3 linked regions of the Cricetulus griseus genome follow. The protein of the gene in region 1 purifies or fractionates together with the protein of each later gene. This does not show direct contact. Links are inferred from orthologs where the notes say so. Each region holds a gene or a part of one and is shown on either strand. Other genes may lie near its edges.

Evidence for each region.
Region 2: the proteins of Etaa1 (region 1) and Rpa2 purify together in Homo sapiens (affinity purification with western blotting; 4 studies listed by BioGRID, with this or other methods). This does not show direct contact. The link is inferred for Cricetulus griseus from reciprocal best matches to the Homo sapiens genes ETAA1 and RPA2.
Region 3: the proteins of Etaa1 (region 1) and Atr purify together in Homo sapiens (affinity purification with western blotting; 3 studies listed by BioGRID, with this or other methods). This does not show direct contact. The link is inferred for Cricetulus griseus from reciprocal best matches to the Homo sapiens genes ETAA1 and ATR.

The regions. Positions count from the first base shown.
Region 1 is NW_023276807.1:88,415,788-88,423,471, forward strand, and holds the start of Etaa1 (ewing's tumor-associated antigen 1), read left to right. Parts: upstream 1-2,332; 5' UTR 2,333-2,431; coding exon 2,432-2,660; intron 2,661-3,530; coding exon 3,531-3,659; intron 3,660-3,920; coding exon 3,921-3,997; intron 3,998-7,183; coding exon 7,184-7,296; intron 7,297-7,532; coding exon 7,533-7,684. UniProt on the Homo sapiens protein: Replication stress response protein that accumulates at DNA damage sites and promotes replication fork progression and integrity.
Region 2 is NC_048595.1:20,505,037-20,512,720, forward strand, and holds the start of Rpa2 (replication protein A 32 kDa subunit), read right to left. Parts: upstream 3,743-7,684; 5' UTR 3,594-3,742; coding exon 3,584-3,593; intron 3,393-3,583; coding exon 3,283-3,392; intron 709-3,282; coding exon 607-708; intron 1-606. UniProt on the Homo sapiens protein: As part of the heterotrimeric replication protein A complex (RPA/RP-A), binds and stabilizes single-stranded DNA intermediates that form during DNA replication or upon DNA stress.
Region 3 is NC_048597.1:204,494,945-204,502,628, forward strand, and holds the start of Atr (serine/threonine-protein kinase ATR), read left to right. Parts: upstream 1-3,198; coding exon 3,199-3,257; intron 3,258-7,684. UniProt on the Homo sapiens protein: Serine/threonine protein kinase which activates checkpoint signaling upon genotoxic stresses such as ionizing radiation (IR), ultraviolet light (UV), or DNA replication stalling, thereby acting as a DNA damage sensor.

The sequences.
Region 1 (7,684 bases):
TCCTATTTTCATCATCTCCCAACAATGCCTTCAAATTATAAACCTGATGGTAGGTTAATCCACTCACTGAGCCTGAGGCCCCATGATCCAAACATGTCGCCAAGGCCCTACCTTTGAACTCTGTTAAATGTTTGAATTATATTGATGCAAACTATATGTGTGTATACATATAACACACACACACACACACACACACACACACACACACACACACACACATATGTATAAGTTTTTACTTAATATTTTTCTTTTTTGAGACAAAATCATTCAGTGTAACCCAGATGGCCCAAATTCTCAATTCTCCTGCCTCAGCCTCCTGAGTGCTGGGAGGGTTACATGTGTGGTCCACCATTCCATCTGGTTGTAGTATTTTCCCCCAAAGTCCTTTTGTTATTATTCAGATGGTTCACATTTGTATTAAACAAGCTATATTTATGTGGAAACCTGTGGAAGGGCTATTTATTCTATTCATTTATTTGTCTATCCCTTCACCACTAGAATGCCATCCTAACTCTTAACTGCTCTAACTCATGACACTTGGGAGATATCCAACTTTATCATTCATTATTCTTCAGGAGACCAATAGTTTCTTGGTTATCTTCTTTCATTTTCACTTACATGCATACCTTAGAATAAAGCTATCTTCCCTTTCTGCATGCATCACCCTGTTCTGAGAGTCTAAGGCATCAGTGCTGACTCTAGACAAATTTGGGAAGAACTGGCCCTGTAATAATGGTGATACAGCCATGAACACAGCATAACCTATTTTGCTCTTCAGTTTATTTCAAAGTGTTTTATAGTTCTCTCTGTATGTAGAGCTGCACTCTTTAATTTCACTATTTATTGCAAATCATATTCTCTTAAAACTTAGAACTTTGTTCATTACTAATCTACTAAAGTACAACTGACACTTGAGTTTCACTTTGTATTGGGAATAGAATAAAAAGGCCATACCTACATTGATTCTAAAAGGCTGACTGATTAGGGGCCTACACCTGTGATCGATTCTAGCACAAGCAAGGATGAGGCAGGAAGACGAGGAGTTCAAAGGCAGACTGCATTATATAAGGGGTGCAGACTGTGCTACATAAGACATTGTCATAAAAAAAAAAAAAAAACATGGACACACTCTGTGATGAGGATAACTGGAATGGTGTAGATATAAAACCAAATAATCTTTACACCTATCATTAGTGTCCTAACTAGCCACAAATTGCCCAGCTTTCCGTCAGGCTTAACATCCTGTTGTCTATCAGGTAAAACCTTTGGAATACATTATTAACTATCCTTACCTACAGCCCATGGAAAATTATCCCCTGCTTTGCTCTAACCCGCCTATCTCCTATTGTCCCCAACAAAGCGTCTGAGAAACACTTCCTTTGTTTTGTTCTGTGACTGTTAAAGCTTGTGTAAATCCTTTTATGTTGAGACATGTTTTTTCAGGATAACCTGAATCAAGCTCCCTGGCCATGATAATTATTTCGTTCAAATTAAATGCTGCCTTATTCCCATTGAGAGGACAGTTTTCAGCAACCGTTAGTTTATTAAAAATTAGTAAGTTTTCCTACATTTTGGATTTTTCTACCCACATAACATATCTGTGAGCTGTCATTTTTATTCCCTCCAAAAATATACCCCCCCTTTTTTTTAAATCAAATTACCGAATAACATACCATCATATCAATCTTGGAAATACACAATTTAAGTTGTGTCTCAGTTAGGGTTTCTATTGTTGCAATGAAACACCATGACCAAAAAGCAAGGAGAAGAAGGGGTTTATTTGGCTTATACTTCAGCATTGCTGTTCATCACTGAATGAAGTCAGGACAGGAACTCAAACAGGGCAGGAACCCAAATGGGAGCAACCCTCCCCTAGGTTGCTCAGTCCATTTTCTTGTAGAACCCGGGACCAGCAGCCCAGGTTTGGCACCACCAACCAAGGGGCGGTCCCTTCACCGTCGATCGCTAAATGAGAAAATGCCTTCTTTACAGCTAGATGTCAAGGCCATTTCCTCAACTGAGGTTCCTTCCTCTGATGACTAGCTTGTGTCAAGGTGACACACAAAACCAGCCAATGTATGCTGTATACTCAGTAAAAATCTGCCATTGCATTGGACCTCTTTACTACCTCCCAACCACTTATCTAGAGAAGACTTTTGCAATCCCTCCTAAACCAGTGAAGCTGCAGACCTTCCACAGAGGAAGCTTCCTAGCTGGAACTGCCTCGGCCCCGAGCACTGAAGGTAGCCTCCGAAATCCCGCCCCTCAATCCCGCAGCCAATCATCGTCAGGCTCGTAACCCTGCCCCTAGACAGACGCAGCCAATCAGCGGCAGCGTCTTTTGCGCGCCCTGCTTGCGAAGATGGCGGTGTGTGTTGGCGCGCAGGCTGTGTGCGGAGCCGTTTCACAGCTCCCCGGCACCGGAATGTGAATGCGGCTGGAGGAGGGTGCCACCGGGATGAGTCGGCGAAGGAAGCATGCGGGCAGCCCTGCCAGGAGGAGCACGCCGCGCAAGGCGGCTGCCGAGGACGGCTGCCCGGCGGTGGAGACGGAGTCCCGCCGCTCCAGGCCCCGCGACTCCCGGCTCTGCAGGGCCGAAGCGCGGCCTTTGCGGCGGGAGCAGCGCCGGTGGGCGGCTGACGGCGGGCGGAGCCCCGGAGGTGAGGGGACGGCGGGCGGGGAGCGGAGCCCCGGGCTGGCGGGTGCTGAGGAGAAGGAGTGGAGCTCAGCCCAGGCGTCGGAGGGGCGGGAGGCTTAGGCTGCAGAGCGGAGTCCCCGGGAACTGGCGGCGTTGGTTGTTTTCTGGTTGACTGGTTCTGGGCGGGGCCTGTGCCTTGGACCACCCTGGGCCATTGGTCAACTAAGCTTTTCTCTTTTTTTTTTTCATTGTTTTGCTAAAGGGTCACCTCAAAGCTATTTGCTCCCGGAACTTGCTAGGAATAACATCCGGTTAGAATAGCAAACTAATGGCGCGTTCCTTTCTGATAACTTTTGGTGTTAGATTTTGAAGATTATTAACCTAATAGGTAGCCGACTGATAACCTTTCCGAGAGCGTGTTCTTAAATTACAACTTCTGTCACCTTGCCTGCCTCTGCTATGACAAAACAAGTCTGAGAAAACAATAACATCGTAAAATTTTAAATGATTCTAGACAAAAACTTCCCTAGAAACTAGAAGCAAATCACTGATGTTTTGGGGAGTAGTTCATTAGAGTATAAAATTTGGGTAGAGTTGACAGGAGGGGCTTAAAAGAGTCGAGGGCTTCAGTTTGGATACATTTTGAGGTTTGCAATGTATTAGTAATTCAATGATCAGGTGGTATCATTCCTGGGACCATGGAATCTTTAAAAAAATACTAATACTATGAAATATCAACGCATTATTTTTATTGAAATCTTTCTATTGTGGTTAAAGTAATTGTCTTTAAGAGACAAGTTTTATATTGGACATAAAAAATAATTTAAGCTGCTATCTGACTTTGGCTCTTGTGAAGTAATGCTTAAAATGTGTCAATTGTCATTTTATATAGAAAAGTATGAAACACCAACAAGAGTTCTGAAAACAGATTTATTGTCCTGTGCCTTCAGTTCCCCAAATGATCCAGATGGACAGACCGATATCTTCTGGGATCAAAATTCTCCAATCACCAAACAGTTAGGTAATCTGTTAAGATTTTTATGTGGTTAAATGTTTGATGAAGGTTAGTGATTGTAAAATTTTAGTCGGGTAACATCGGAAACTTCAATACAGTGGGTTTTTTTTGTTTTTCTTTTTTTGAGAATCTGGTATGATTTTTCTCTCTAATTTGCACATTAGTGCAGAGTGATTTAAGTTACATCGATTACAATCATTCTCTAAAAAGTAACAACTGATTTTAAAATTCTTGGTCTAAGATTTATAGAAATGTCTGTTTCTTTAGGGAAAGGAAGAAAAAAGCAGATTTCCAGTACATACACTGATGAGATTTCGCATATTGTCAATCGTATTGCTCCTCAGGTAAAGACAGCAAGTTTCATGATTTATAACTGCATGCTTGTTTCCTTTCATATTCAAAATATGTATTTAGAGCAACAAAGGTTACAGCTAGCCTTTCTGTTTCTGAATGAATGTCTTGAAAAATATGGAACGAATTATAGAATGAATACCAAAGTCTGCAGATTCTGAAGTTTTGTACATAAAATGATATGGTTTTTCATAGTGCCTGTTCATATCCTCCCATATACTGTATTTATTTATTTTTATTCTTTGCAGTGTTGGAGCTCAAACTCACTTCTGCTAGGCAAGTACTCTATCATGAGCTATGCCTCCAGCCCACCCCATATACTTTAAGTCATCTCTAGGTTATTTATTCCTTAGATAAAATAGTTATTTGTTATGCTGTACTATTGGGGGAATATTAAAAAGAAAATGCCTGTATATGTCCCATATTTTTAGTACACTTTTGGTTAGATGTGGAACCTGCAGATACAAGTAGATATTTTGTTTTGATTCTCTTGGAGTAGTAATTGACTAGTTTTATTTTTGTTGTCTTTAATGTATTTACCACCAAGCTGCGTTTTCCACATTATATTTTGAGTAAGTTGTATAGTAGAACAAACAATGTAAATTTAAGTTCTTGTTGTTAGTGCTTGCTGTCTATAGTACATATTTTTCCTGTTGCAGTTGCTCTTACTAGTATTCACTGGCTTATAAAATCACCAAGACAAAGTTTAAAACTGGAAAGGTCACTGGGCTTAGATACAGGCCTAACTAATGCAGCCTCTTCTATGACCCAACACCCCCCACCCCCACCATGTGTCAGTTAATGGTCATAACCTCAGTTCATTTTACTATAAAGTAGAATTATTACCTGCCTTACTGTCTTCAGTGGATTATTAGGGTTAAGTTATATGAAATTTACAAACTATAGAGTGCTATAAATTAATTATGATTTATTTTAATAGACCCATCTTCAAAGATTTTTTTTTCTTTAACTTTTGTGATGTTTGAGTGAAATACAAGTTTTAGTGAATCATTTAATACAAAGGAAACCAGTTAACTATCATTCCTGGTATTATCTTGACACTGTTAGTAAGAAGCATGGTCCAGAACATAACTGTTCTGAGTTTCTTTTCTTTCTTTTCCTTACTTAGTTTATTTTTACATTTTTAAAAGTGTGTGTGTGCGCACACATGAGCATGCACTCTCTTTTGTACAACAGCATGTGTGGAGGTCAGAGGACAACTTGGAAGAGTGAGTTCTCCTTCCACTCTCTTGGTATGATTCATTATATCAACACTTAATTTCGTGAACTACATTTACGGTATAATATTACTACTTTGTATGTTAACAGTAAATCTTCATTAACTAAAGCAAAGAAGCACAGAAAATAGCTTTAGGCTGGTCAGATTGCCTAGCGGTAAAATGTTGAGTGTACAGTTGACACCTTTACTAAACGGGCTGGAAATAGTATCTCTTGTGAAGAAATGGCAAGAGCACTCAAGTGGTAGCTTGAGTCACTGAACATTACGTTGGGATTAGTTTATTCAGTCTTCTCCTACTGAGCATTATTAAAGCAGGTTAATTGTTGGCAGCATTAAGATCTTTTGAAAAGTGTCATACTCATAATTACAAATACTTGAGATTTTCATAGTGATCTTCAGATCATTCAATTTCCTCCTAATGGTTTCAGTTTTAATTTTCTAAGATACACATTTGCATATTAGACAGACATCCCATTTTCTGTAGTGATAACATGCGCTGTGTTTAAGGTGATATCTTTCACCATATATATAACTATACAGGGTGCTCATTATTATCAGTTGAAGGATTAGACAACTTGATGGCACCAAGGATTTACTTAGGAGCCTGTAAATTAAAAGAAGCCCTTACAAGTAGTACATAAATATATAGAGGATTCCTGGTATATAAACTTGAGTGGGCACGTAACTTTGTCATGACTTTTTGAAACTTGTATAAATTTAATTTACTTGTAAATGGACAGATTCCATAATTAAATCGTTATTTGAAAGAGTGTTCAAACAAATGGGAAAATATCTAGTTTGTAAAATGAACTGATATTATTTTGCAAACTTAAAGTTAAGTAGATTTGGGTGTGCATTAAGAAAACTACTTGTTAATTCACTACCAAATTGTAGAGATGTTTTCACTAAAACCTTTAAGTAAGAAAATATAAAACTATAAAACGGCACTTTTTTTTTAAAGTCTCATTTTTCATGGATGTATGCATGCACACACTTTGTAAAGGTCAGAGAACAATTTGTTTTTATCCTTTGAGCCGTCTCCCTGGCCCAGTATGATTTTATACTCACCGTTGTAAATTCTAAGCTCTAGTTAGAATAACTTGTAATCTAGTAATAAGGCCATTTTTAAACTTTGTATGATCTTTTAATAGTAGTTCTCAAGCTTCCTAGTCCTGCAACCCTTTAAAACAGTTCCTCATTTTGTGCTGACCTTCGCCCCTAAATTTATCTTTATAGCTACTTCATAATTTTGCTACTGCTAGGAAGCCTAAATGTTTTTGGAGATAGAGGTTTGCCAAAGGTTGCAACCCATGTGTTGAGAACTGCTGGCTTATAATAATGCTCATTCCATAACTATCATTGTGATTGAGGAACTGAAAAATACAGCAAAAATCAAAACAAGAAAACCATCCTACTCTAAGATAACTTCCTACTTGAAGTTTTTCTGTTTCCCCATTCTTAGCTTTAGCCTTGACCATGCCTTAAAGTCTCTAGTCAGTTCTGACATTACTCTGTGCTCAATTTAAGTCAAAGTGGAGCTCCCAGTTCTTAAAGATCGAGGATAAGAAAATATTGGGGAGTCAGTGCTACAGAAAGAATTCTGAATGTATTTTTATTTTCTGTTCTGATGGTAGTACTTACTTTTTGAGTATCTTACAACAACTGAAATGATCTTTTATGTGTATATAACACCAAAATGTACTTGATAGGGAATGTATATCAAACCCTGGTTTTTATAAATGTGGTTTGAATATTTTTAAAAGCTCGAATATTTCTCCTTTACTTGTGAGGGCATAAATGGATCACAGTTTACAGCCAGTGACTATCTCCAGAATTCTTCTCCTTCCTCTCTACTCTCAACCTCTCCTTTTTCTTGGGGAGGGGGTATTGGTCACTTATTTTATGGTGCTCTTATGTTCTTTTTTCTTTGGTTTCCAAGGATGAAAAACCAGTGACAAACTCCATGCTGGGTGTGTGGATTGGTGACACTGCTATTCCTTGTACTCCTAGCATAGCAAAAGAAAAGTCAAGAGTGAAAATCAGCTGCACTAAGTGAGTTCGGATTTCACCTTCTTGTCATTCAATGAGGCAGATATTCTTACTAACATTGTAGGTTTTGGAATAAACCGAAATTGTAAACTTTTTGTTTTGATATGTAAAATTATGTAGTTAAAGACACATTATTCTGAGTTAAAATTTTGGTGTTTTTTGTCATATCAAAATATATGAAATGATAATTGAGTAAGTCTTATTTTTTTAATTAAAATATTCCAATATTGCTTTAATAGGTTAAAAACACAAAATCGAGAAAAAGAACTTATGAAGTTGGCTAAGCAGTTTGATAAAAACATGGAAGAACTTGATGTGATTCAAGAGCAAGATGGGAGGAATAATGATTTTATCCAGACAACTTCAGAAGTGGGACATTTACACATTCATA
Region 2 (7,684 bases), on another chromosome or scaffold:
TAAGAAAAGCTGGCTAGAAACAGGCCAAGCTAAGAAGGGATATTCATAAGTAACAAGAAATCTGTGTGTTATTTATTTGGGAGGTAGGTGGCAGGCACCCCAAAGAGCCAAAAGAATAATAAAGAAAAAATGGGGTGGGGGGGAGTAAGCATGGTGGCTCAAGTCTTTAATTCCAGGACAGGGGAGGCAAACAAGAGTTGGAGGCTAGCCTGGTCCAAAAAGTGAGTTCCAGGACAGCCAGAGCTATTACACAGATAAAACCCTGTTTTGAAAAAAAAAAAAAAAAAACAAAAAAAATAAAAAATACTGTGCCAAGCCCTTGCAAAGGCTTGAGGACACTGGGTGTTCAGGTCTAGCACTGTTGGCTTTCTTCCCTTCCTTAAGAAGGGTCTCTCATTAAACCTAGAGCTAGCATGTCCAAGGGATCATATCTTCCTGTTTCTGACTCCTACAGTTCTGTGGTTACAGGCACAAGAGTAATCGCAATCAAGCCTGGTTTTCTACATGGATATTGGGATCTGATCTCTGGTCCTCATGCTTGGACAGCCATCTTTACAACCCCTTATTTCTTATCACTAAGCATTTCTTCCAAGCAATCTTAAATACCTGTGAAATCTCAACATTCCCAATTTTGAACACTTCATCAGTCAGAGTAGCAGAAAGCAACTGAGATATGGTACAGGGCACAATGTGCTGGGATCGGACTCTCTGAAAAGGAAAAGTATGCAAACAGTCAACCCTACAGATAACATGGTTCATTTAGTATTTGCTATGCACCAAGTATTTGAACATACAGTGTTGTGTATTTAAATGCTTGGTGCAAATACACAACACCGAATGTTCAAAAGCAAATTCTCCTTATGTCAGAGACAGAAAACAAGGCCAGAAAATTAACTGATAGTGCATTTGATTCCCCTGCCTCTGCTGCCTAAGTGCTAAGATTCAAAGTGTATGCCATTACACATGGCAAATGCCACCCTTTTAAATTCAAATCATTACACTGATCAGATGCCAGAACTCCAGGTGAAGAGATATTTGTATTATAGTGTGGGTTCACAAAGAGATGGTCAGACTAGGGGCAGGACAACATAGGCTGCAAGACCAGCCTGGTGTACAGCATGAGTTCCAGGCTACACAGAGAAACCCTGTCTCTGGGTGGGGTAAAAAGAACATATCCAGCCTGGCAGTGGTGGTGCACACCTTTAACCCCAGCACTCAGGAGGCAGAGGCAGGAGGATCTCTGTGAGCTCGAGGCCAGCCTGGCTGGTCTTCAAAGAGAGTTCCAGGACAGTCTCCAAAACACACACACCCACACACCCATATTCCAAATATAGTAAGAACAAGCTGTTATAGTAAGGACACCACTGAGGTGTTTTGGGAAAAGACCTGAGAAATGATAAGCAGAAAAGGAACTTAGGAGATCCTCTAAGTTTCCTGATAAAATAGATGGCAGTCCCTGTAGAAAATGGGGTGAGTATAGCCTCGCAGGCCATTTTAAAAGGAAGAAGAATAAGATAGAATGGGCAGAAGAGCATTTAGTGAACAGACTCAAACTACCTCTCAGAGCAGTCTACCAGCAATGTAACTTTTTTTTTGAGATTCCTCTGTGTATATACCAGGGTGGCATCAAACTCAGAGATCCACCCACCTGCGTCTGCCTCCCAAATTCTGAGATTATAGAAAGGTATGTACTTCCACACATCAGTGTTAACTTTACTCAGAAGGGTAACACAATGTATAGGTGCTTTGCCCACATGTGTCCGTACACCATGTGTAAGTCTGGTGTCTGACCAGGCTAGAAGAATGCCAGATCCCCTGGGATTGTAGTTACAGATGGTTGTGAGATGCCGTCTGGATGCCAGAATCAAACCCAGGTCCCCCAGAAGAGCAGCCAGTGCTCTTAATCACTGAATCATCTTTCCTGCCCCTCCAAAATAATCAACAAGCAAGCAATAAAGTAAAAGGGGAGATGAAGATGGGGTGCAGCACCTGCCTAATGAATACAGACCTTACATTTTTGCCTAGTACTGCCAGGAGAAAAACAGAAGGAAGACAGATAGACATGGAATGAGGGAAAGGAGGTGGAGATGCGGCCCAGGCAGTAGAGTGCATTAACATGCACAAAGTCCTGAGAATCCACGGAACTACAGTGATGTATGTCTGTAATCTCAACACTTGGGAAGAGGGAGTTCAAAGCCAGTTTGGACTGCAGAAAAATACATACACATGTAAAAAAAAAAAAAAAAGAGTTGCTGAACAGAGTGGCATGCACCTGTGATCTACATATAATAAGTTCCAGGCCACCCACAGATAGATTAGTGGAAACTTGTCTCGAAACTAAAACAAAACATCACAAAAGACATGCCTTCAACTTGACATTATTTCTGACTTACCAGAAGCACTAATGTAAATAACAAACCTCATCCTGATACAATACAGAATGAAATGCCCTATTGGGATCTCAGAAACATTTCACACCACACCTCAAAAAAATAAAGCAAAAAGTAAAGAACAAAGAACAGTCACTACAGATAAAAGGCAAGTATTCCGTTAGTGGCAGGACTACCTGCTGCTCCACCGCCAGTTAGGAAGAGCCTGGCAGCATACACCTTTAATCCCAGCACCAGAGTCAAGAGTTCTCAGGGGATCTCTGAGTTCCAGGTCAGGCAGGGCTACACTGTGAGCCTGTCTCAAAAAAAAAAAAAAAAAAAAAAAAAACCAACCCCCCAAACTCTCAGTCTCATACAAGCAATATGTACAAGGCAGCCAAAGCACAGCAGATTATAGACAGTGTCCTTCCTGTTAAATATCAACAGGAAATAACCTAAAATCTGTTCTCAACACAGCAGGCTCTTGCCCTTCCGGGATTTGGTAGTCCCAACCGTGGCCTGAGGGCTGACGACCGGGACATTTAAGTCTGCTAAAGCATACTTTTCCAGCCGGGTGGTGGTGGTGGCGCTTTAACCCCAGTATTAGGGAGGCAGTGACAGAAGGACCTCTGGTCTACAGAGCCGGTTCCGGGACAGCTAAGGCTACACAGAGAAATGCTGTCTCAAAAAAATAAGAAAAAAAAGCAGTGTCGCGTGGTACGAGCAGGAGAGGTGAGGCCCGGCAAACCACAGCACACTTGCCACACAATTTAGCTTTTTTTTTTTTTTTAAGAACACACTTCACCGTACTAGAGACAGGCTAGATAACGGACAGGTCCGGGACAAGCTCGAGGGTGCCACCCTCCCCCACAAAAACACGTTCTCTCAGGGACGGGGCGGTCACTCCGCGTACCGATTTCTTCTCTGCCTGAGACAGTGTGGGCGAGCCGAAGCCGCCGGCGGACTGCGTGTAGCCGCCCGCTCCGCCATAGCTGGAGCCGCCGCCGAAGCTCTCGAACCCGCCTGGTTGCGAACGACAGTTGTTAGCGCCTGCGTCCCCCGCCGCGGCCCCGCCGCCCGCCTTCCCCGACCCCTCGAACGCCGCCGCTCGGACCTCGGGCCTCTCGGCGGCCCTGCCCCCTCCGCGCGACACTCGCCCACTCCCGACTCCCTCGCGCGGCTCGCGGCCTCCTCCCCCGCTCGCCCGCCATTACTATTCCACATCCTGGTCGCTGCTTTCCTGAGAGAGAGAGAGGCCCAAGAAACCCCGGTCCGGACGGCTCGACGAACACCTCACAACTGTTGGGCGCTCAGGCGTGCCGGTGTTGTATCTACTTTACACTGGCGCCACAAACTCCTTCCCGCGAAAGGCGAGCCAATCAGCGCCCAAGATACATCTCGCTTCGGCCAATCAGAACCCACGACTCTTCCGCGTTTTCTGGTATCGGAGACCCGCTGCAGAAAAACGCACGGCCCCAAGAAGGGACGGAAGCCTGAGCCGCCACCTTTACTGAGGGCAAAACTCCGATAGGACCGTTTTCAAGAAAGCAACCAATTAAAACAACGCTTCCGGGGCGTATAAAACTACCCTTATCAAGTGCGCGACTGTTACATCATTTCCCATGTTCGTCAACCCGCTATTCCCGCCAAACTGCCGTTTGGCGGGAGATTTAGATGCTGAGATTTAGTTGCTGTGGTGCAAGTCATGCTTTCGACGTTGGTGCTCCGTGGTGACACGCAGTGTGCACACCTCCGAAATTCACAGTACTGCTGCTCCACCCCCAGTTAGGAAGAGCCTGGTAGCATACACCTGTAATCCAGAGTCAAGAGGCTGGAGATCTCTTGAGTTCCAGGTCAGCCAGGACCTCGTGGGGTTATTGTAGGGAAAATGGGCCAGCCAAAGATGTCCCTGGAATCAGAGCCAGTGAAAGAAATGCATCCTGGCCCTAAAACTAGAGCCAAAAGGCTAAAAGGACCAGTGAAGTGAACACACTTTGGCTCTGAAAACAAAGCCAAATCTGACCTTAAACCTGGTCGGAAAACTAACCAATCCCTGAGCAGGAGATGCAGCAGTCTGAGCTCAGGGATTGAAATCTGAACAATCCCCACCCTGGAAAAGCTCTGCCCCCCCCCCTCAAGAATCCCTACATAAACCCTGTGTCTGTCCATCTTATTGCTGCTGCCTTCTGCGCGGCAGCCACTCTCCCACATTCTTCCCTCCCAGCAAATCTCCTGAATATGGTTTGGGTGAGACCTTTGCACCCAGAGCAGAGCAGAGTAGAGCGGAGCAGGTCTAAGTGGACTTGTTACACTCGGCTCTCCAGGGGACCCGAGTGGAACTGTAACAACTTCACAGCAGAAACCATCTCCTGCTGGAGCCGAGGACTCTCTCCTTCCAGAGCAGAGCTGATACACTGGGAAGCCTTTCCCTGAAGCAGAGCTGTAAGCAGCTATGCTTACTGTGACCTGTGGTATTCCTTGACTCCCGATTACCAGAATACCTTTCCATCTGTCTTATAACACTCAGTATTCTGTGCCAGAATCCCTGTCCATCTGATCCATCTTAATGCTTACAGTTAATTTCTATAAGAAATGAAAACTGTGCTAGAGAGATGGCTCAGCTGTTAAAAGCTAGGCTTACAACCAAAAATATAAGAGTTGGATTCCCAGCACCCATGACTGTCTCTCCAGGCACCTCACCCCCAGAAAAAAATTAAAACTCTCCAGGTGTGGCGATTTACTCTCAGCACTCAGGAGGCTGAAATGGGAGGATCTCTGTGAGTTCGAGTCCAGCCTGGTCTATATAGCTAATTCCAGGCCTCAAAAAATTAAATAAAATAAATGAAAATGTTCCCTGTACAGCCACATGATTGTCTCCATTTAGCCTGTAAGAAACTTCACGGAGGCCAGCAAGATGGCTCAGCAAGTCAAACTATCTGACGTGGAGCCCTGGGACCTTCATAGTAGGACAGGCTTAACTGTTAATCCCACCAAATGAGAGTAAAGACCATTACCCAAAATCTTTGGTCAAGTTAAGCAAGCGTTATTTTCGGTCAGGGCTATCTCCCTAAGAGGGGCTTGAGAAAATAGTACAGAACACAGGAGGAGGTGAGGTTTATATAGCCCCCTAAACCTGCAAGATTTTCAGAGGAACTTTGGTTATATAGGAACTTGGCTGAATATTCCAAAATTATTTGGCAGGACATCTTATCAGGGTGGAGATTAGGGTGTGGAACATGTCAAATTCCAGAAAATGGGTCAAGACCTGGTAAACATTTAAGTTTTACAGAAAACAGGAATAGCTTCTAATGTTAGAATGGAGTCAGGCTGTTATCTCACATGTCCCAAGAGTTATACCCTACACACACACACACACACACACACACACACACACACACACACACACACACACGTAGCCAGGGGCATACACATACATGTGTGTTTTAAAGAAAGAAACCTAAGCTGGGTGGTGATGACACATACCTTTTATCCTCGTACTCGTAGGCAGAGTTCAAAGCCAGCCTTATCTACAGAGTGAGTTCCAGAACAGTCAGGTCTTCACAGAGAAATCCTGTCTTGAAAAAAGCAAAACAAACGAAAAGGAAAAAACGAAAGAAAGAAACCTCATTCATGGCCACATTTAAAAAGATGTCCTGCCTTCTCTCCTCTCCCCCAGCTCTGTGTCCCTCCCTGATTACAGGGTTCATCCTTCCCTGTGACTTAACTATTCTTCATATGGATCACACACCATGGTCTAAAACCTGCTAGAGAGACTTTTTGTTTAGTTTCCTAAAAACTATGTGTCCTTGTGTAGTATGTGCTTGAGTTCAGGTTCCTTCAGAGTCAGAGGAGGTCTGGAGATTCCCCTAGGGCTGGAGTTACAGGCAGTTTTCCTCAGGCAATTGCCATGTTGATTCTGCAACCCTAACTTAGATCTGTAAGAGCATCATGCTCTCTTAAGCCCTGAGCTATCCCTCCAGTCTATTTGTTCACTTGTTTGTAAAAGTGTTTATTGGGAGTTGGGCATTGGTGGCGCCTGGTCTACAGAGTGAGTTCCAGGACAGCCAGGGTTTCACAGAGGAAGAAGGAGGAGGGGGGGGGAGGAGGAGGAGGAGGAGAAATGTTTATTGGCCAGAAGAAATAGAGGGCATGAGGAGCAAGCCTGACAACCTGAGTTCTAAATCCTGAATATGCAAAAAGTGGGCTGCAATGACACACCTGTAATCTCAGCTCTCCTGTGGCAAGATAGGAGGCCAAAAGAGAAGCTTCGGCGCTCGATAGGCTGGAGCTCGCTGAACTGCAAAAACAGTAAGGGGCTCTGCCTCAATAAGTACCAATTCATGAAAGTTGTCCTGTCTCCACATGCACACCATGCCACACACATTTGAAAAATAAATGAACGTAATTTTAAAACATTATATATAGCTGGGCAGTGGTAGTGCACACCTTTAATCTCAGCACTCAGGAGGCAGAGGCCAGCCTGGTCTCCAGAATGAGTTCCGGGACAGCTAGGGCTGTTATGCAGAGAAACCCTGTCCTGAAAAAGCAAAAAAGAGGGGCAGAGGGAGGGGGGGAGACACAAACACTCACTTTAGAAGAGAAGGTCTCAGTATGTAATTCTGGCTGGGTTGGAACTCCCCATTTAGACCAGCTTGGCCCCAAGCTCACAGGCTCTGCCTGCCTCTGCACCCCAAGTGCTGAGATGAAAAGCTCGCAGCACCATGTCTTGTTAAAAGTTATACCTTTTGAGGTACCGTTCAGAAAAGTAGTCAGAAAGCAGGGAAGGTCTGTGAGCCACTGCTGAAAATATATATTTCTGTTTATTTTTAAAAACAACAATAACAACCAAACCTATTATTTAAGTCAGACATAGGGGAGCACAACCTTTAATCTCAGCACTTGGGAGGCAGAGGCAGGTGGCTCTCTGTGAATTCAAGACCAGCCTGATCTACAAAGTGAGTTTCAAGACAGTCAGTGTTATGTAGAGAGACCCTGTCTCAAATAAATAAATAAATAAATAAATCTTATTTTTTGTGTATGGATGTGCCTGGTGCCCACAGTGGCATCAGATCCCCTGGGCTGGGGTTGCAGACAGTTGGAAGCTATCATGTGTGTGTGGGAATTGAATCCAAGTCCTATGGAAGGGTAGCCAATGCTCTCAACTGTGGGGCCATCTCTGAGTTTCCCTAACAATTATTTTATGACCCTTTTAATGACTTCTGTGCTCTAAGACCTTTAGCATCTCCTTCCTATGACCTAGAGGAAAAAGTTCAAGATCCTGATAGCAGCATCCTACCTAGGAACATGGCAGTCAC
Region 3 (7,684 bases), on another chromosome or scaffold:
CGGAATTCATCAAGTGTTGGATTGTTCACCCACTAATAGGGAATGTGAGCTGTTTTTAGTTGACAAACTCTTTTTCATATATGACTGTCCTGGTTAGGTTTCTATTGTTATGATAGAACATCATGACAAAAAGTTACTTGGGGAGGAAAGGGTTTATTTCAGTTTCTAGTTTCACATAACACCATCACTGAAAGAAGCCATGCAGGAACTCAAGGCAGGAACCTAAGAGGTAGGAGCTGATGCAGAGGCCATGGAGGAACTCTGCTTAGTAGCTTGCTCTTTGTGGCTTTTTTTTTTTTTATAGGATCCAGGGCTACCAGACCCAGGCAGCATCACCCACAGTGAGTTGGAGTCTCCCACATGAATGTAAAGGTACCCATAGACTTCTCCACAGGCCAGTCTGGTTGGTGCATTTTTTCAATTGAGGTTCTTTCCTCCCAGCAGACTCCAGCTTGTGTCAAGTTGACATAAAAGTAGCCAGCATCTACTTCCACCAGCTGCTGGATGAAGGCTATAGGATGGCATATAAGACTCATTATCAGGGGTTGCATTTAAGGTAGCCTTTCATCTGTTGCTTAGATTGTTAGTTGGTATAATCTTTGTAGATCTCCAGACCTTTCCCTAGTGCCTGATTTCTCTGTAAACCTAAAATGTTTCCCTATATTATGGTATCTCCATTCTTGTTATCTTCTATTCTTCCCCCAACTCAACCTTTCTGCTCCCTCATGTCCTCCACACCCCTCCTCTTCTCCCCTTCTCATTTTCCTAGTTCCTTCCCCCCATCTCCCTTGCTCCCAATTTGCTCAGGAGATCTTGTTCCTTTCCCCTTCTCCAGGGGACCATGTATGTCTCTCTTAGGGTCCTCCTTGTTTCCTAGCTTCTCTGGCAGTGTGGATTGTAGGCTGGTAATACTTTATGTCTAAATTCCACATATGAGTACATACCACATTTGTCTTTTTGTGATTGGGTTACCTGGCTCAGAATGGTTTCTTCTAGTTCCATCCATTTTCCTGCAAATTTCAAGATTCCATTGATTTTTTCTGCTGAGTAGTACTCCATTGTCTAAATGTACCACATTTTCTCTATCCATTTTTTTTTTTTTTTTTTTTTTTTTTTTTTTTTTTGGTTTTTCGAGACAGGGTTTCTCTGCGGCTTTGGAGCCTGTCCTGGAACTAGCTCTTGTAGACCAGGCTGGTCTCGAACTCACAGAGATCCGCCTGTCTCTGCTTCCCAAGTGCTGGGCTTAAAGGCGTGTGCCACCACCGCCCGGCTCTCTATCCATTCTTTAGTTGAGGGTCATCTAGGTTGCTTCCAGGTTCTAGCTATTACAAATAGTGCTGCTATGAACATTATTGAACAGATGTCCTTGTTGTATGAATGTGCATCTTTTTGGGTCTATGCCTAAGTGTGGAATTGCTGGATCTTGTGGTAGACTGATTCCCATTTTCCCAGACACCCACAACGAATCACTGAACTGAACTGGAATCCAGTTGCAGAGAAGAACAAGTGATGGGCAAAGGGGTCCAGACCAGGCTGGTGAAACCCACAGAAACAGCTGACCTGAACAATGGGGAACTCTTGCTCCCCAGAATGATAGCTGGGATACCAGCATGGGACTGATCCAGACCCCAGGAACGTGGGTTTCAGTGAGGAGACCTCGGAAATCTACAGGACCTCCTGTAGTAGTTCAGTACTTATCCCTAGCATAGGTGTGGACTTTGGGAGCCCAATCCACATAGAGGAATACTCCCTGAGCGAAGACACACAGGGTGGGCCTAGGCCCTATCCCTAAGGATATGATAGACTCTGATGACACCCTATGGAAGGCCTCACCCTCCCTGGGGAGCAGAAAGGATATGATAGGTAGGGTATTAGTCGGGGGTGGGGGGGGTGGGAGAGGAGGGGAGGGAGAAGGGAACTGGGATTGATGTAAAATAATCTTGTTTCTAATTCAAATAAAAAAATAAAGAAAAATGGTAGCCAGAATAATGACTTATAATTTAAGCTTTTAGAAGTATAATCATGCCATTCGTAGTGGCTCATACCTGTAATTCCAGCATTTCAAGGCTGGGGAATGGGATTCTTCATCAGGACCAGCCAGGGAGCCATAGTGAAATTTGACTTAAAAACAAACAAAGGGAGGGAGAAAAGAGAAAGAGGGGAAAGTAGCAATGGAAATAAATGACATTCTATTGTCTGACTCTTGTTACCTCTTAACCATTACTGTACTCTTGGGATATGAGAAAAAATGGAAATAAAAAGAGATTAAGTACTTTCTTGAGGCCATATAGCTTCTAGCAAGTGTAATGATAATTTTTTCAGGGTTCATAACTCCTAATCCCGTTTTTTCTAACATTCAATAATTCATTAAAAATGTTTACTAAACATGAACTATGTCCAGGCACTGTTTCAGTTCATGGGGTGCCAGCAATAGGCAAAATAAACAAAGACCTTGTTTTCAAAACCTTATATTCTAAGACACAATCAGTGTCGTTAGGTTTTAAGTGCTATGAAGAGAAACAAAACAAGGTGAAGACGGGGGTGGGGTGGGGTCGGCTGGGGTGTGTGTGTGGGGGGGCGAGTTTATGTTACTGGCCTGTATAAGACTCATGCCACTTCATCAAGGGATATCTAAAGGAAAAGGCGCAGAGGGAAGAGTGGTCAAGGTACAGCAAATTCGGATCCTGGAGTCTGGAGCACACCTGGCTGCCACTCCACCACTTTTTAATTTTATTTTTGGAGGCTGTATCAGTAATTATCTTTATGTGCCAGACAGCAAATGAAAGCCCTACTGAGTGGCCTTCCGCAGTTAACTACGTAATTCTGACATAGTGAAATGTATAACTTTAACTGTCGCGTCGTCAGGTCCCTCTGCAACCCAGATCCTGGGCTCCCGCTTCCCTGAGCATCCAGGTTCGAGCATCTCCAAAGCAAAAATACCCGCCGAAGGTCACGCACTCCGGGGGGAGGAGAATTGGGCGGGCACGTCCGCTGCCGGCTCCGCCCCTGCCGCCCCGGGGATTCCCCCCAGGTCCTAACAGGAACCGAAACAAGAGCCTGCGGGTCGCGGCCGACGGCGGCTTCCGGGAGGAGTTTTGGCCCGCGCGGGCTCCCGTCGGCGCTCCGCTTTCTCCGGAGGAGGCTGTGGAGAAAGCCCTACGTTGGCGGCGGCTGTTTTGAGAGCCGCACGGTGTCAGCATGGGCGACCACGGGCTGGAGCTGGCGTCCATGATCCCCGCCCTGCGGGAGCTGGGCAGGTAGGGCCGCGCGTGGTAGCCAGCCTCGCGACGCTGGACGCCGCGTCTCCTCAGCCGGCGCCGCGGCCTGCGGGGCGCTTTCCCCTCAGCGGCCGTTGGCGGGAGCGCGGTGCTTCGTGCAAGCGGGGTGGCCGGGCAGCGAGCGGCTGTGCAGCGCGCGTGTCGTGCCCACGCGAGTTTCTGCTTCGCGTGAAGGGCCTCTTGTGGTCATTGCCGCACACTCGTTTGCCGCACACTCGTTTGCTTCTGGAAAACCTTCCCTCGGTTCTGTTCCTTCTCGTCGCTGCCGGGGGAGTTCATTGGCTTAGGTTTTGTGTCAGAATCACGGCCCCTCTTCTCAGCGAGGCGAATCAATGGCTAAAAGGGCTCGGTCGGCCTAAAGATGTGGCCCCACCCCCACCCCGTCCCCGAGTTGACCGGCCCGTTATTTTAGTCAGAAATCCGAGGGCCTGGCCCCAGGTCCACAGAGTAACGTGCACAGCGCTCCCCCAAACTAAGTTGGTATTCCATTTGTAAACGCCCCTCTCCGGCCTGACGGAGCGTCGCTCGCCTTTCATCCCAGAACTCGGGAAGCCGAGGCTGGCGGACCTTGAGCCAGCCAGGTCAAAAAGGCGAGGGAGGAAAAAACAAAAACAAAACAAAAACCAAATGCCTTGTGTCTGTCTACCCCTAGAGGCTAGTGAAAACCAGGTTGCAATCTGAAGAGCTAGTGCTTGCCACGCCCCTCGTCGCTTCCCTCTCTCAGGAGACCATTGCTTTTCGATTTCTTAAACTAGAAACGTTGCACGAAAAGTCAGTGCTAACCTTAAGTCTGTGGAATATCAGCCGTGTTCATTTCCTCCTGCTGGTCATGTCAAAAACCTAAATTGGAGGATAAACGAAAAGACCACTTTTGTTTGTCCTAACTGCATCATCGCTGTGATTTTTTTTTCACTTTGCCTAATTGTGGCAAATATACTTTATGGGAGCATCTAGTAATTGCTGTCTTTCTAGAAGTGTGAGTAGAGATGGTGAATTTTGGGAAACTGATAATACAAATTTTGTTGTTTCACTGAGATGACCTCAACATATGCACCTGTACTCAAATGAACAGGTACACACATACAGACTTAAAAAATAATTAAAAATTTAAAAGAGTTTAACAGCTGTTACTATACTAAAAAAACGTATATAGCTCAACAACATAAAAAAAAAAAACACACACCTCAATTTGTTGAAAAAGTAGGTAAGGAAATTGAACATATTTTTCTCCAAAGATGGTATAAAAATGGCTACCAAGCAAATGAAAAGATAGGTGTTTGAAATGATTAGTAGTACAGGAGACACAAATTAAAATCTCAAGGAAGCTGATGGGATAGCTTGGGGGGCCAAGGCAAGAGGCTCACTGAACTTGAGAACAGCTTGGGCTACCAAAGAGTTAAAAGGGGCTATGTGATGAGACCTTGTCTCAACCTTGTCTCAACCCACCTCAAACGAAAACAAAACAAGGAGATACCATTTTTTTTAAAAAAGATTTATTTATTATATATACAGTGTTCTGCCTGCATGTATGTCTGTATGCCAGAAGAGGACACCAGATCTCATAACGGATGGTTGTGAGCCACCATGTGGTTGCTGGGAATTGAACTCCGGTACTCTGGAAGAGCAGCCAATGCTCTTAACCTCTGAGCCATCTCTCCAGGCCTAGGAGATACCATTTCTAGACCATTATAACTATTGTATATATAAAAATTATATATTGTATATATAAAAATAACTTTTTTATAAAAAATACTTGGTAAGGATATGGGGAAAGTAAAATGATATAACTTAACCACTGTGGAAAATGGAATGAGTGAGTGTGCTACAAAGAAGGAAGGGAATAAATATGGAATTAACCTATAACCCAGCGATTTTTTTTAAATATATACCCAAAAGAATTTAAAGCAGAGATTTGAACAGATATTTTTACACTATTTCATAGCTGCACTGTTCACACAATACCTAAATGATGGAAGCAAATGTTCACCAACAGATAAGTAGACATAACCTTCCCAGATGTGACATAAATATAGATAATATTATTCAGTGTGAAAAGGAAAGAAATTTTAACATGCACAGCATAGATTTTATACTAAACCAGTGGTTCTCAACCTGTGGGTCATGGCCCCTTTGGCAAGCCTGCCTCCACAAAAATATTTACATTATGATTCCTAACAGTCTGGCCTTTCTATGTCTCCTTATGTCTTTTCTAACTTCATCTTAGGTGTCTCTCTGTTGTTGTTATTAATTACAACTGCATTTGTATCCCAGGCTTCCCCTAATAGGATCTGTGTTATTTACCTTCCAGAACTGTCATCTCTCTCAGATCCAAATTAGGTTTAATATCCTATCTTGTTGCCTATGAGTTGGAGTAGCATTGACAATAATGTTTAGTCTTATTTCATGCATATTGACTGTATCTCTATTCATCTTTGTTTGTTTTTGTTTTCAAGACAGGGCTTCCCTGTGTAGCTTTGGAGCCTGTCCTGGAACTTGCTCTGTAGACCAGGCTGGCCATGAACTCGCAGAGATCCACCTACCTCTGCTTCTGGAGTGCTGGGATTACAGGCATGCCCCACCACCGGCCAGCTCTGTATATCTTAAGATCTAGAAGTATCCATGTATCTCATAGATATCTCACTTATTAGTTATTGCCTTGAAAACTCAAAGAATATTTCAGCTGGTTTTACTTTTCTCCCAGTTCTGTGCTTCATATGTTGACTGTTTGGTAAACGGCCTCACAGTCTACCCTAACTTATCAAGTCTCCTCCGAGCTGCTTTTCTTTCTCAACATTAGTTTTTTGTATATTGCCTGATGCATTATAGGTGCTCAGTAACTTTGCATTGATTCTAAGAATAATTGTCATCATGGGTTGTAGCACAGACTCTATTAAATTTTCATTATCTGTTTTGTGGTGATTTTATATAAAGTCACAGAGCTGAAGCTGAATTCATTCAGAATTTTAGGGAATGATTCTGTTGAATTTTTTTCTCAATTTTTTTCCAAGTGTTGATTGAACCCAGGGTCTCCCATGTGGTAGCAAATGCTCTGCCACTTTGTATTTCTCTCTAATACTTTTTCTTAATTATCCCTAAGAATGAGAGTGTGTGTGTGCCTATATATTTCTTAGCATTTTTGTTACTTTTTAACATGAACATCTTCAAATACAACAAAAGAAGAAAAAATTATATATTGATTTCCTCCTTCATAGCCTTCTTTCTCCCAGAACTTATTATTCTGCATTAAATCCCAGACATCATTTCATCTATGTCAATAATTACCAGTAAAGAACAGAGACTTCTTTTATATATTTATTTACTTTATTTTGTGTGTGTAAGTATTTTGGCTGCATGTATGTGTATGTACCTTGTGTGTGCCTGATGCTCTCCGAGGTCAGAAGAGGTCGTTGGATCCCCTGGAACTGGATTTATGGATCGTTGTGAGTAACAGTGTGGGGGTTGGGAACTAAACCAAGATCCTCTACAAGAGCAGCAGTTGCTCTTAATAATGAGTTGTCTACCCATGTACCATGAGCAAGAAGATGGTTTGAACCCAGGACTTTATATGCATGACACAAATGTGATAGCTGCTACACTACGGAAACATGTTTGAGACTTTAAAATATGACCATAGTACCATTATCAATTTAAGATTACTAATGTCATTTGAGATCTGGATGATGATCACAAATTGTAATTATTTGATGTGGCTCTTAAGTCTTAATTATAGTCTTTCTTTCTATGCTTAGAATTTGTGTTTTGTTTGTGTGTTTGAGACAGGGTCTCTCTGTAATTTAGGCCTAGTGTCCTGAAACTCACAAATATTCACCTGCCTCTGCTTATTGAGTCCTGGGGTTAAGGTTTATGCCACCATGCCCATTCAGAATTAATTTCTTTCTCCCTTCCTTCCTTCCTTCCTTCCTCCCTCCCTCCCTCCCTCCCTCCCTCCCTCCCTTCCTTCCTTCCTTCCTTCCAAAGAATTTGTGTCTTAAAGAAGCTCTGCTACAGATTTTCTGAAGATCTGGATTAGTAGTTTAATGGAACTATAGTAGAAGCTACATATGTAATTATTTAAAATTTTGTAGTCAACACATTCTAAAAAGAAGTAAAATTAAGCTAGCAATGTTTTATAGGCTATGTATTAACTCATTATATCCAAATAATAGCATGTTCATATGTAACTGATATAAGATTATTAATGCAATGTTAACTTTTTATGTGTGTAAGTATTAGTAATCCAATATGTATCTTATAACACATCTTATTTTGGAGTAACTTTAATTCAAGTATTAAATAGTCACGTTACCATTTTGAGTGCACATTTATAAAATCTGCAGGTCAGATTCCTGCGCTGGCATTTAAGATCCTTTCTCCCCCACCCCATCCCCAAAACTAGTAATGTCATT